Arabidopsis thaliana: one gene and its partner. The protein of the gene in region 2 binds, or shares a complex with, the protein of the main gene of each other region. Each region holds a gene or a part of one and is shown on either strand. Other genes may lie near its edges. A codon is read from its position in the direction of its gene.

The links. Proteins that work in one complex are often made in the same cells at the same time.
Region 1: the proteins of AT2G02050 (region 2) and AT5G47570 are in contact, whole or in part, in a cryo-EM structure (PDB 8BEH), measured with the Arabidopsis thaliana proteins. Residues at the interface, in NP_565280.1 of Arabidopsis thaliana: Met10 (codon at 3,319), Ala12 (codon at 3,313), Thr13 (codon at 3,310), Gln14 (codon at 3,307), Met17 (codon at 3,298), Leu24 (codon at 3,277), Gly25 (codon at 3,274), Arg27 (codon at 3,268), Asp28 (codon at 3,265), Met29 (codon at 3,262), Arg69 (codon at 3,142), Met70 (codon at 3,139), Ala72 (codon at 3,133), Met73 (codon at 3,130), Ile76 (codon at 3,121), Arg77 (codon at 3,118); in NP_568684.1 of Arabidopsis thaliana: Ser103 (codon at 3,433), Lys104 (codon at 3,430), Val105 (codon at 3,427), Pro106 (codon at 3,424), Phe107 (codon at 3,421), Thr108 (codon at 2,159), Pro109 (codon at 2,156), Arg110 (codon at 2,153), Tyr112 (codon at 2,147), Pro113 (codon at 2,144), Tyr114 (codon at 2,141), Leu117 (codon at 2,132), Glu120 (codon at 2,123), Leu121 (codon at 2,120).

The regions. Positions count from the first base shown.
Region 1 is NC_003076.8:19,290,767-19,297,815, forward strand, and holds AT5G47570 (NADH dehydrogenase ubiquinone 1 beta subcomplex subunit), read right to left. Parts: upstream 4,035-7,049; 5' UTR 3,901-4,034; coding exon 3,763-3,900; intron 3,688-3,762; coding exon 3,601-3,687; intron 3,515-3,600; coding exon 3,419-3,514; intron 2,160-3,418; coding exon 2,103-2,159; 3' UTR 1,821-2,102; downstream 1-1,820. Other genes in the region: ASG7 (uncharacterized protein), read right to left, coding at 4,182-6,428. UniProt on the Arabidopsis thaliana protein: Accessory subunit of the mitochondrial membrane respiratory chain NADH dehydrogenase (Complex I), that is believed not to be involved in catalysis. Complex I functions in the transfer of electrons from NADH to the respiratory chain.
Region 2 is NC_003071.7:486,632-493,369, reverse strand, and holds AT2G02050 (NADH-ubiquinone oxidoreductase B18 subunit), read right to left. Parts: upstream 3,419-6,738; 5' UTR 3,347-3,418; coding exon 3,035-3,346; 3' UTR 2,996-3,034; intron 1,613-2,995; 3' UTR 1,312-1,612; downstream 1-1,311. Other genes in the region: PTR2 (peptide transporter 2), read right to left, coding at 3,663-4,488, 4,564-5,120, 5,199-5,516, 5,772-5,828. UniProt on the Arabidopsis thaliana protein: Accessory subunit of the mitochondrial membrane respiratory chain NADH dehydrogenase (Complex I), that is believed not to be involved in catalysis. Complex I functions in the transfer of electrons from NADH to the respiratory chain.

The DNA of each region.
Region 1 (7,049 bases), on a different chromosome or scaffold from region 2:
TAATGGGTTAATATACGAAAGAAAGGTCATTCTTCAGTGAATATGTGATTGATGACTTTTCAGTTTATCTAAGGAAAATAATCGGCCATGAAAATGAAAATGATGGGGTCTTGCAAATTACAAGTTACAAGTGGCGACGCTGTGATGGCTTGTAATTTTGTCTGGACTCTAGAATCTGATGACCCATAAAAGGACACTAGAGATTAAGATGACAAGTAATCATAACAATCTATTTGCTAATAAATTATTCAGTAGTCATATAATCCAAGTGCTATAGCCTATAGGGAATTAATCATTAAAAATATGTAAACTTAAGAGTTATAACTTGTAGATAATATTGATCGTAGCTTCTCCATTAACATTTATTGGTTTCGTTTTATCCACAATCCATAAGCCTGTAACTTTGATTAATATGTCAAATGGATAGTAGAATAACTAAAATTTCAAAGTATATTCTTTTGCTAAATAAGCTACATATTACGAAATATTTAGAAAAACATAATCATTTTCGAATTGATATATAAATCCTTTTTTATGGTTTAGAATTAAGAGGATATAGAAATGTTGAAAAATATGGAAATAAATGAGGACAAAAGAGAAAGAATTGAAAGCCAAATTGATAGTTGGCAAGAGTAAAGAGAGCGAGTGAGACACGTTATTATATGCAGCCTTTGGTACTCCTCCAGAGCCCAACTTCCCTGGTTCTTACCCTCCCCTCTCTTTTTTTTTTGTCCTTTTTCCTCCAAATTTAATAATAATAATCATATTGTTGTAATAATCATATAGATACAAATTTTCTTAGAAATGTTCAAGAATCGACATGTATTTGGATTTTTTAACTTGTCTGTCAAATCTCTCTAAGAGATATAGATGCACTTGGTCTAAAGAAGATAAGCACACATACACACATGCATGTAAAGATATACGTACGATGAGATTTGCTATATCCAGTTTGCCAACAAAGAGAAGGAAGACTTATAAGAACTATTCCCTCAAATATAACTGGATATAACATAATAAGAGAGAAAAATAGAGGTGTGGTACCAATCACAATCTTGTTTTGAAGGGGTCCAAAACAGTCAGGTTGAACAAGAGCCGGTACAAATGACACATAGGCAGATCACATTGATGATTTTGATCATGAAACTATTATTATTTACTCTTATGGAATATTTGAAAAGATTGAAAGAAATCCTTGACTCATGTGGCTGTCTTTGATTCCATCACTTGGAAAGTTTCAGTCCATAGATTCTATGATTTTTATTTAAGATTCTATGATTATCAACTATAGTTTTAATCATCTGCATTGTAGACTATGTAGTCTCTAAACTTGCCCCTTATTGTGACAAGTCTACATTAGACGTGTATTTGTACAAGTCAAATCCAATTCATCATCCCACAGTCACTTATCAAATTTCAAATTAGAGCTTCTTAAAGTATTCTTCTTAGTATAAAAATTTTAGACAAGTCACACCAATCTTTTATCATATTAATTTTTACCCGTAAGAATAAGATCTATGTTTACAAATACGAATTTCTTACTAAACTACTTGTCGTGATGAATTTTGATAGAGATAATCATCAGAGAAAACAAAGAGAACTAAATAAATGCGTATAAGATATGAATAATATACAGAAGAGGAAAGAAATACCGAATACGTAATGGATATAAAACCAAAGTTTCAATTCCAAGACGGATACGAACAAGTTCGAGTTTCTCTCAATGTCCCACTCACATGCCCCATTAGGTTTAATTTGTCTTTCTGTTTTTTTCTTTTTTCTTTTTATTGTAGCCTTTGTTTGATTGAAGTCGTACGAGGCTCAAACTTGGTTCGACACATGGCGCTAACTGAATTGCGAGACGATTGTTTTCTAAAAGTTACAAAACACAACTCAAGATTTCCTGAACCAGAAGTCTTCTCTTATGGATCTCTCTCACTGGTCACTGTTAATTACAGAGACAACGCATATAATAAAAACAAAGTCTTCTTTTTATTCTTTTGTCTTCAAGTTCTAAGCAGGAAACAACAAACATTTTAAAGAACAAAGCAGTGAAGAAAACACGCTTCCTGTTTTGATGAGCAGATCACTTAGATGGGTCTCTATGGCTCTCCTCCAAGCTCAACTCTCAGGTTGTCATATGGATACACTCTCGGTGTCTGCAACAACACAGTAAGAGATTAACATGATATGGAAAACAAGTTCCACAATGACACAAAAGCAGAGAGATGATATGCCACAGAACAAATTCTAAAGTAAAAGAGAGCAGCAATTCAACTCATGTATAAACAAGAAGATATAGAGCAACTTCTCAGCCTTGGAGTGCTGTTCAACCTCTATAACCCTAAGTTCTTCAAAACAAGACACATCATAATAGCCTTTGATACAAAGTCTATGATTCTTGGCCAACGGACACTAAGAGAAGTAACATTTGGAGTAAAAAGAAGAACAGCAATTCAACTCATGTATAGACAAGAAGACATAGATCAACTTCTTAGCCCCGGTGTGGTGTTCAACTTCTATAACTCGAAGTCCTTTAAAGAAAACTCATTATAGTATAGCCTTTGTACAAAGTTTATGATTCTTGGCCAGTCGACACTAAGAGAACCAACTCATCGATTTTAGCTGCTCATGCACCTCAAAGAGCCTTCATGTCTTTCTTACACCTCTAAGAGATGCCACAGAACAACTTCTAGAGTAAATGAACAGCACCAATGTCTAGACAAAAAGCCAGAGCACCTTTTTTAGGCCTAAGTCTTTTACTCGGAATCCTTCAAAACAAGACTCATCACAGTATAACCTATTAACCTTTGATACAGAGTTTTTCATTCTTGGCCAGTGGACACTAAGAAAACTAAAACATAGATTATAGCTGCTGGTACATACACCTCTAGCATACGCTTAAGCATTTACCGAGTTCCCAAGAACACTGTGGGTGTTTCTTTCAAGTGTTCCTAACTACAACGTACATGCTCAAATTAATTAAGACAGGATTATGGAAGCAATGCGGACATAAGATTCATCTAGTCCAGTAACTTTGGTCAGATGCAAAAGCAAACAGCAAGAATTGTTCATGTTCATAAACAGACAAAATGCAGAACTGAAAGCTAAATATTGCGGCAATTCAGCAAATAAAGAAAAGAACATTGACACATTCTCTGTTACGCGAGCATATTTTGTAGATTCCTATGTTTTCTGTCCACATTTAGTTAATGAGTTTCTGAAGATTCCAGCAAAAACCTATTCTCAGAAATAAGCCAATGCCAAACATATGTATCAAATTCAGAGTTGAACAACATACATAATAACAGCTGCATAGGGATGATAGATCTTAGCATAATCATGACTTCGATCATCACACTCAGGACAACAAAATGGGCTTGATTATAATTTCGAAAGTTGAAAGCTTTGAACTTACAAATGGAACCTTAGAAGCTTTGTCGTTCAAAACAGCGAGCAGACCGAGACCAACAAAGAACCCTAATCCGCCACTCAACCATGCCAATGCTTCATACTGTTCACATTAATCCAAAATCAATCAGAAAAGCAATCTCTTTTTACACCGAGAATCACCAGCAATTAGAAATCGTGTAACCAAACCTTTCCGACGGTATCAGCAATCCGATCTATGCAAGGCTCTGGAAACGCAGTCCCGTTGTCCCACATCAGCTCGTCGTTTACCGATAGCTGACCCGCACAATTTGTAAACATCAGATTTTCAGAAGAATCTAACAAGAAATTTACAACAGAAATTTGACTCACCGGCTTATCGGGGACGATGTGTTTGCCGACGGGGAGACCCATTCCGGCGCGTTGACGGAGAGAAGAACCGACGGATCGGGCAACGACGCCGTTTCCACCCATGATTCGTGACGCAACACCGCTCAATCTTCCAGCCATTTTCGCTCTTTTCAGGTTTCGATCCAAAATCCAATCAAATTACAGATAGAGAGAGAAGAAAGACGCAGTCACTGAAACGATTCCCTGAAACGCCATCGTTTTAAAAGAGGTCAATATTGTAATTTCGATTAACGAATTTTAAAACCAACGAAATGAGCAAACACATACACTTCAAGTGTGTCAAAAAGCTTCAGATTCTTACTATATACAAAGAGATTCATGTGGTGAATACACAAAGGTACAAAAACAGAAAAAGCTACAACCTTTAACATATCTATAAACTACTCAACAGTGAGGCGCAGTTCGTCCGAGTCGGGATAAACTGTCTTGTTGTTATTATCACATTCGCAAGAGTTAATCTTGTAGAATGCTCTCCATTCGTCGATGTTCTTCATCTGATCACATCTCAATTTAGGTAACCTTCTTCTCTCTAAGATCTCTAGAATCTTCTCTGTTCTTCCCAGATGCAGAGCTGCTCCTCTTACTGATTCTTCCCTTACTTCTACAGCTGACACCAAACACTTGACGGATATCACTTGTGCTACGTTGCAAAAGCAACCTGACACTATGTCTGATATTGTGCTTTCCAGCTTTCTCAACAGAGCTTCCCCTGTTCCATAGTCTCTTGATTCGTAAGTTAGTAGAATTGTTTGACAGATTCGGTACATGGAGTTGGCTGCTAGAGTCTTGATGGGCCAGTGAGAGGGCTTGTGCTTCATGCATACCATCAGGTTCATCTGCCATGACTCTGAGAACTCTTTCTTCGCGATTTCCATCAGCTCCCGAAGGGTTTCTTCTGGATTTCTTTGTTGCTTTGATAGTTTCCGAAGATCCACATCAAACCACTTGTGATAGAGATCAACACCTAGCCAAACGACCTCAGCAGCTTTCCTGAGGTTAACTGACTCTCCTCCGGTATCCAGGACGCATTCAAACTTGTTGACATATTCCAGTGCCTCGTTGACAGCATTGAGTAACTTCTTCAGGGAGGAGGGCTTGATGTCGGGAAGTGCAACAGCAATACTTGTGAGTGTTACAAGCGGGAGAGCCCAACAATTGGGCGGTTCTCCGTGGGCCAGAGAAGCCACCTTGTTGCTGTCGAACTCTGCAATCCCTTCAAATCCTTTTGAAATGGGTGTTGTTGCTTCCAAAAGCTCTATCAGATTCACTGGTTGTTTCTTTCTGCCCTTCTCTATCCAATGATCTGTCGCTTCCCGGTTGCTCCGCACCATCACATCCACCAGCGGGTCCTCTCCTTCAAGGTGCAGGACAAAACTCGCTAGGTCCTGTCTCGAGCTTGGATTTGAATCGGATTTTTCTGACTCACTGTGTGTGATAGTATTACTGGTCCTTAAGGCGAAATGACAGCACAACAAGATCTTACCCACACAGGATACCGAGATGTAACGGATAATTTTGCTACCAAACACAATCACATACTGTATCACAATACATACATCCAATATCCAGCGTTTTGCATTGTGTGCAGTCTTCCTGTATCTGCGTTCTTTGAGGATCCAAAGGCTTAAGGGATGTTGCTTCTTCTCTGAGAACCAATGTGTCCAGTAACTCTCTATTCTAAACTCATCTCTATAATACTTCTTTCCTCTAATCGGACACCTGAAGTTCACAGCCGTGAACCATCTGATCGCAGGAGCAATGGTCCCTATAGCTACAGTAGTAGTCTGGCAAACAAGAACCAGAGAAGTTGACCATTTGTAATCAGAATCTCCATGGCAGAACCCAAGTGACCTTGGTCTTAAAAAGTAACTCCTAACCATAGCTTCACCAAGCGTAATGGCACTCAGGAGACAGAAGAAACCAGAAGCAGTGCACGTGACAGAACGAGCCATCACGAATTGAGGGCTACTAGTATGAGCCATCATCCAAAACTTTGACAAATCTTGCTGAATTTTCTTAGCAACTGTTCTCTCTGTAGCCAAAGGACACTTCATAGCAACGTCGTACCTCTTATTGTACTTACTCTCCAAGATTCTTTTCGTAGTGGGAACTGTGGTGGCCGAGAAACACAAGATCATAAGCATAAGAAGCATGAGAAGTACGACCAGAAAATGTTCCTCAGAGAAAACATAAATCGCACCAGTACCCAACTGAATACAGATGTTAACAACATCAGTGATGACAAGAATCCCTAAAGCCATAAGATTCATGAGGAGATCATTGTTGTCCATAATACCCAGAGAAGGCATCGAATTACCCATCACAGTACATACAAAGACGGTGCTGCTGAGTTTAGCTAACTGATCCTGACGACTCGGCATGGAAGTGTTGAGATCCACAGAGAGTTTGATTCCGACAGCGATGAAAGTCAGAGAAGTGGCGTTGAGAGAGAAGAACTTACAGGGAAACCAGAATTTGCGGTGTCGGAAGCCGTGTATAAGATCGGCGGCCATGGCTAGACCACAGATGAGTGAAGCTACGGCAACGTAGATACCAATCGAAGGTAAGGGTTTGCTGAACTCTGCATCGTTCAAATCGCCATGGGCGTCGCAGCCGAGGATACCCATCAATCGAATTCAAGGATTTGATCGAAAAAGCTCTTCTTCAAGTTGACTCCATGGAAATGAGTGATCTTGTTGACATCATTCTAGAGACTGGAAAAGTAGCAAACTTTGACTTCTCTGACCGATTTTGAGCACAAATTCCAACCTTTCTACTACACTCTTCTATGACCATTTCAACTAAATTTCGGATAGACACTGTTGAATCGCAGATCAACCGGGAAAAACTCACGGGAAGAAAGTGTTTCTGCCTGCTTTCGTGGAGTTTGGAAAAGGCCTGGAGTGATCCACCTATCATGGGCCTAATAATCGGCCCAATTAGTTTTGTTACTGGATGTGTTAATAATGATGAAGAGTAGAAACTTTGACTTGTCTGATAAAATGATCACACTCCTTTCATGACCATTTCGATTCAATTGAGGAATTAGGCACTGTTGAGTGACAGATCAAATGTCCTAGGATCTATAAACAATTGACATTCCATGGAATCAGCTTTAGGGGGTTTTGAGCAATCATCATCACCAATCAGGTTATTCGAGGGATCCAGTTTGTTTGTTTTTGAATTCAGCTTAGGGGAACAAAAGAGTTAAGATTGTGAAAACAAATGACATGAATCACTTGATTCGA
Region 2 (6,738 bases):
ACATTAAATGAGTCTGGCAGAGACAAATAGCTCCAAGAGAAATTGAATGAGTAATTGACTGTGGAGGTCCATGATTCATGGCTTTTACCACAATCAAAACATTCAATAATTCTCTTTGCTTGTTTTTTTATTAATATTATAAAACTTTGTACATACATGTAAGATAATGTAACCCAACTGGATTTTGGACTATAAAAAACATAACATTCTTTTTTGTGTGTGGAAAATTTGGATGTGCAAATCTCACCGAACCATTCGACGATTATCAATGTTAATTTATTATTCTATTGGGTCAATTTTCTCATCACCCATTGATTGAATTCAATCATAGCACATGCAAGAACAAGGCAAATTCTAAGATGGTTAAAGTAATATAAAAGGTGTAATCCATGAAACACCTAGAGAGAACAGAGAAGAATTAGCCTTTTCACACCTAAAATAACATTAAACAAAAGTGAAAGAGAGTTGTTTAAAAGTTTGATTTGGGAATGGTTGGGCCACCAAAAAAATTACACAACTAATATATAAATTACAAGACAGAGAATATAATATACAACAATGTACACATGGATAGATATAGACATTGCATGGTTATGTGAAAAGGTTTAGAGTAGTGTGAGTGCATAATTATTGGAAGTAGGACCAAACAACTCTTGACTTTTCATCCTTAAGGATTGGAATTAGATTTGATATGTTTTCTTAGCATAACCTCTTTTATTCCTTTTTTTTTTCTTTTTCTTTCAAAAGCGTAACTTTTGCAATTTTTTTTTTTTTTTTTCATATGAAATTTTATTGATAAACTTGTTGTGCAACCAAGGTAGAATACAACCCCCAAAAAAGGAAAACTAAAACCGGCGAACGACATAAATGTTTCCGGAGTCAAAGCCGAAGGAAAACGTAATTAATGAAAACACAAAACAGAGATTTGTAAACCTAAATCGAAAGAGGTCGAACCCAACAACTAAAAGCAGAAACAAAGGCACAAACCCTTTTAAACTACTAATCTCTAGAATCAACAAGTCCTCTTTTCTGAAGCAACTACGGATGAGATTTACCAAAAATGCTCGCGGCCAACCTAAAGATAACATCAACCACCTCCTATCAATATGACTCTCAATATGAGAGCCAATCTATCGTAACTTCTACGATTCTTGTTCCATGTTTTTATGCCTTCCACATATCAAGGAATATATAACTACAAAGTGGTATACTTTTTTTCGTATCTATAATCCTCTTTTGATTCTATCATAAATGACAACTCATTTTCTGTCGGATTCCTCTAATCACCATTACCGTTTAGACTTCTAGTATTTCACTAATTTCGTTAGATGGTTCTTCCAGTGAAGTGATTTGGTTCTATAAGCAATGTGTCAGTGATCTCATATATATTTTTTATTTCTCACAGATTAAAGATAGAAAACCAACAAAAAGATGAGTTTTGCATCTTATTTTTTGGGAAACCACTCCAAGTTAAAAAGAGTTCAAAAAAAAAAAAAAGATAGAGAATCTTGAACATTCACATCTGAAAATGTAGCAACAATTTTTCATCACTAGCAAGAAGAAAAAGATTGAAAAGCAGAGTCCCCACCATCTTCACAGTTCCAGAGAATCCCTGTCCAAATATTTTCAGAGTGTGAATTAGGACTCAGAAGAATGAATAAACAATCAAATCAGGAGAAAACAAAATCATTGTCATGTTGAAGAATCTTAGACCAAGTATTTAGGGGTCTATCTTTATAACAGAGAAAACACCCATTGGTGTCAAATCATAATGGCATATACAATGAACAAGTAGTGAAACACATAAGAACGATATGAAAAAGGAAAGAATCACACAAGCATGCAAGAGTACTCAATGGCAAGTGAGAACAAGAAGATGAGAGACATTAAGAGATTTGTTCTGTAGCTGTTGTGACATAAAATACCAAAACAACAAAGCAGAAAACGTTTAGACACAGGTATGTAGTTGGTGCTGTAATTATACAATTCTTCTCACGGATTTATAAGTAACACAAAGTGACTGTACCAATTCTTAGCCATGAATATCTGAGACACAATTTACAAGTTCACAAAAGATATATATCAATCATAAGAATTTCAAAGCCTAGAAGTGTGAGATCATAAATCAAACATAAAAGATATAGTCTAACGAATAGACTTGGGTCTAGTTAATCAGTGAAACTCTCTTGTATCCTTTTTAAGGGTCTGTAACACAAAGCGACTGTAACAATTGCTAGTCATGATATCAGATTACAAGATCTTAAAACAGAGAACGGGCAAAAGAAGTTGTAAACACAAAAGATATAGTCTAACGACTTGAATTGTGTCCTGTTAAGCAGTGAAACACTCTTATATCCTCTACGGGTCTGTAACACAAAGTCACTGTAACAATTGCTAGTCATGATATCTGAGACACTATTTACAAGTTCATCGAACATATAACTTGCAAACATAAAAGATATAGTCTAACGAATTGAATTGTGTCCTGTTAATCAGTAAAACACACTTAAATCCTTATATAGTCTAAAGGTTCCAGCAAATTAGTGCTACTGATTACTTAAAGACTTATCTATTAAGCTTTGAAAAGGAAACATCATGAAAAAACAAAATCTGTAGAAAATCCAGTCAATGATGGAATTTTCCTTATCCAAACTTCAGATATCATTGAGATACTTTACAACAAGAAGTACAAAGTCCAGACATTTCTCTAACATGATTGATACAGAACAATTGTGATTGCAGTCTAAGAGAAATTGAATCCAATTGTAGTCAAATGTTCACAACAGAGGCAACAAAATTGCTAAGACGAGAGAATTCACAATTCAAAACCAAGATAATGCATTAGACATCTAATTGAACAAGCAATCTCATTTATTCCCAATGAAACCCTAATTTGGAATTTGAAGAACACGAAGATCTGATCATGTAGCAGAAGAAACAAACCAATTCAATCAAATCAACCAAAACACAAGAAATCGAAAAACTATAGACTAACCGGAATCTGGAATCGGCAAATTGGAGAAGGAATCGAATCCTAAGCATTAGCAGTTTTAGGGATAAGAGGAACAGCAGCGTTTCCTTGTAGTTTATTCTGTTTAGCCAAAGCTTCTTCTTCACGGATCTTCTTCATCGCAAGCATTCTCTCCATAACAAGCTCGTATTCACACTTCTCATAAACGTGACGCTCGTCTTCACATTTCCATGGAAGGTAAAACTCAGCCTGACGACATTTGTTGAGCGGAATCAAGAGATGAGCGCACATATCTCTAGATCCAAGTGCTATTTTAGCTGCAGACATCTCTTCTTGCGTTGCGATCATCTTCTTCGATGAACCTGGAACCTCCATTTTCGCGATCCCCAAACCTCACAACGATACTCTCTTCTTCTTCTTCGATTTTATTGACCCGGAACATTCTTCTTCTCCGGGTCATATTTGTGCCCGTTTGATATGGGCCAAAAGCCCATTTGATTTACTAAGCCTATGGACAATTTCTCTCAATTTAGTATTCGAACCCTGAATTGTTTATAATATTGCAAATGCGACTTAAACTTTTGAAATTGAAAGGAAAAGTACACAGCAATGTTGTTATTGATACAGAGACAGTTACAGTTGAAAGAAACAAACTTTTGTATGTAATGAAAGTAGATAGATAACAGCATTACTACGACGAAGCTTTCTTTTGCTTATACCTAGCAGCAGAGAAGAAGTAAACCGCCATGTTCACAAGGCTAAGACCAGCCAAGAGCCAGAAGAAGTAATCGAGATGACCTGAATTGAGATTATCCGAAATCCAACCTTCTTGCCCATTTCTTGTTGTAAAATAAGTCACGAGCGTGAGGATCAACGAGCTCAAGTAGTTACCAAGTGCATTGGTCAAAAGAGCCAAGGCACTGCACAAGCTTCTCATTGCATCTGGAGATTGGTCGTAGAAGAACTCGAGCTGACCGATGAAGTAGAATACTTCGGCTGCACCGAGAATGAAGTACTGTGGAATCTGCCACAAGACGGATATGGGAACTGGGGCTCCTGACTCGACTAATCCAAGATCGTTGGCCATATGGAGACGGATGATTTCGACGATAGCTGCAGCTGCCATACAGAGAACAGAGACAAACAGACCAATTCCCATTCTTTGTATCTCAGTGAATCCTTTGTCTACTCCTGTGAACTTTCTTGCTAAGGGAACGATGAACCGGTCGTAGAGCGGCACCCAGATGATGACGCTTGCTGTGTCGAATGTCCCGAGTGCTGCAGGAGGAAGCTGGAATGATCCAATTTTGCAGTTCATGGCTCGGCCTTGTTGAACAAACATTGTGGACATTTGTGCGTATACAGCTGAGAAAATGATACCAGAAGCCCAGATTGGGAACATTCGGATCAGAATCTTGAGTTCTTCGACTTGCGTAACCGTGCATAGTCTCCACGAGTTGGAATAATCTCCGGATTTCGATTCTTCTTCTGAGATAACAGCGGCTTTGTCAAGATACCTGCATCATACCAGAATAACTTGTTAAACCAAGTAAAGCTATACATTACTGGAAAGCAATGAAGCGGATATTTACTGGCAATCATCGGTATGCTCGATTTTTCTACTTCCAGCAATAGCAGAGTTCTTGTCTTGAGTTTCATACAGAAGTGTGGCGTCTTCAGGGACTTTGACAGACGATTTCCGGAACGAAGCAACCACGACTTGGGAAATCCGAGTTATAGGGCTTCCTCCAGGTTTCTGAAACCTATAAAGAGGTGTGCCAAAGAAGAAACTTGCAATGGCTAGTCCCATGAACACTGTTGGTATCCCAAACCCTAAACCCCACCCGCGATTCTCTTGAATCCAAACTAGAAGACTAGATGACACAAGTGCTCCAATATTGATGGAGAAGTAAAACCAGTTAAAGAACGAAGCTTTTCTAACTCGTTCCCGAGAGTCCGTGTCATCAAACTGATCGGCACCGAAGGATGAGACACACGGTTTGATACCTCCAGTTCCAAGAGCGATCAGGTAAAGCCCACCAAAGAACATCGCATACTGAGCTGGCGTTGCAGATGGACAAAAGTCACCAATACATTCCGCTGGCTTCAATGCCGGAACTGAAGCTGAAAGAGTTAACGCAGACATCCCCTAAACAAATACAAAAACCTATCAGTAATCAGGAGCAAACAAACCAAACCAAACATTACACAGAGAAGCAATGCTTACGATGAAATAAATCCCGGAGAAACAAGCGATGGTCCAGTAACGTCCCCAGTAAGCATCAGCCAGAACAGCTCCAATGAGAGGAGTGAGATAACAAGTCCCTTGCCATGTGGTAACGTTTGTAGCAGCAGAAACATTTCCTTGGTGAAGCTTAGTGGTGAGGTAAGTGATTAAATTCCCAGCAATACCATAGTAAGCTAGCCTCTCACAACATTCATTACCAAGAATAAAAGGACAAGCTTTCCAGTTTCCTGTTTTCTCCTTCAATGGTGGGTTTCCATTAAAGTCCACTGAACCATCTTCAGCATACAATTTCACTTCCTACTTAAAACAAATTCACAAAACATTTTTGATTAGCTAACTAAACTATAACTGTATCAAAGCTCGAAACTTTGATCTATATCTACTTGCAAAATTCAAACATTGGAATCATCAATTAGATAAAACAGTGATTGCCCAGAAAAGATCTCAATAAACCCAGAAAGAAAATGCATAAGATCAATCTAAAGTCAAGATTTTGGAATTGAGTAAAATCAAAATTCGCTAACCTAAGTGATTAATTGAAATTGAACAAACCTGTAAAATTAAACCTTCTTCGATGAGAGGTCTTGCTTCTTCTTCGATGGAACCCATCGTTTTCGTTTTTTGAGCTGAACCAATTTAGATTCCTTACGTTGAAGCTACCTATCTAACGATACTCTATTATTTATCGGAGACGTGACGGCTTTTTATTTTACTTTTCCCGGCGACTTATTGGAAAATAAAAATCAAAACTTTGATTATAATAAGAGAAGTAATTAACAAAACTCATCTTTTTACGAATTTTTTGTTATTATTATGACGTAAAGATAGAATTGTGGATCAACCTGTTACCTGTCCATGTCTCAAGTTGTTGATATCACTCTAATCAAGAATTTTTTTTTTACATATATGTGTTTCTAAAACAATACATCATCAATACGTTGTTGATATCAGTAAATCGTTTGGGGACTCAGATAACAAACAGTAATTATCAGCCAATCTCTCTATAAACCCTGAAAGAACAAGAATGCTCAATAATATGTAGCTCAAGTCAGCAAAATTAGGAGAAATGGAAATTAAAACTCGATAACCTAGATCATTAATTGTACGTTGAAACTATATAAACTCTCCTATTATTTTTTGGTAAATGTGACAAATTTTTTATATTCCTTTTCCCGGCGAAATTTGTTTTTATTGGACTATAGACATCGGCTTTGTTTACATATTTTTCTAAGGTCTGTGCTTAAACTTCAAATGGGAATTATATATATATATATATATTTTCTTTGTGATTCACATAGAAATTAATTTGTGTTTTTATCACAAAATCATTTCATAACTATATGTGGCCAACTTTGATTGATTCCACAACTTGATTCATAGGGTGCATAGAGAATGTGGTACGACCATCTATAGATTCATCATCCATCATCTCTTGTAAGAACAAAATCATTTGTTTCTATATCAAATAAGGTGTTATAAAAACTAAAAAAAAAAAGATTCTCCACAACTTGAGTCCATA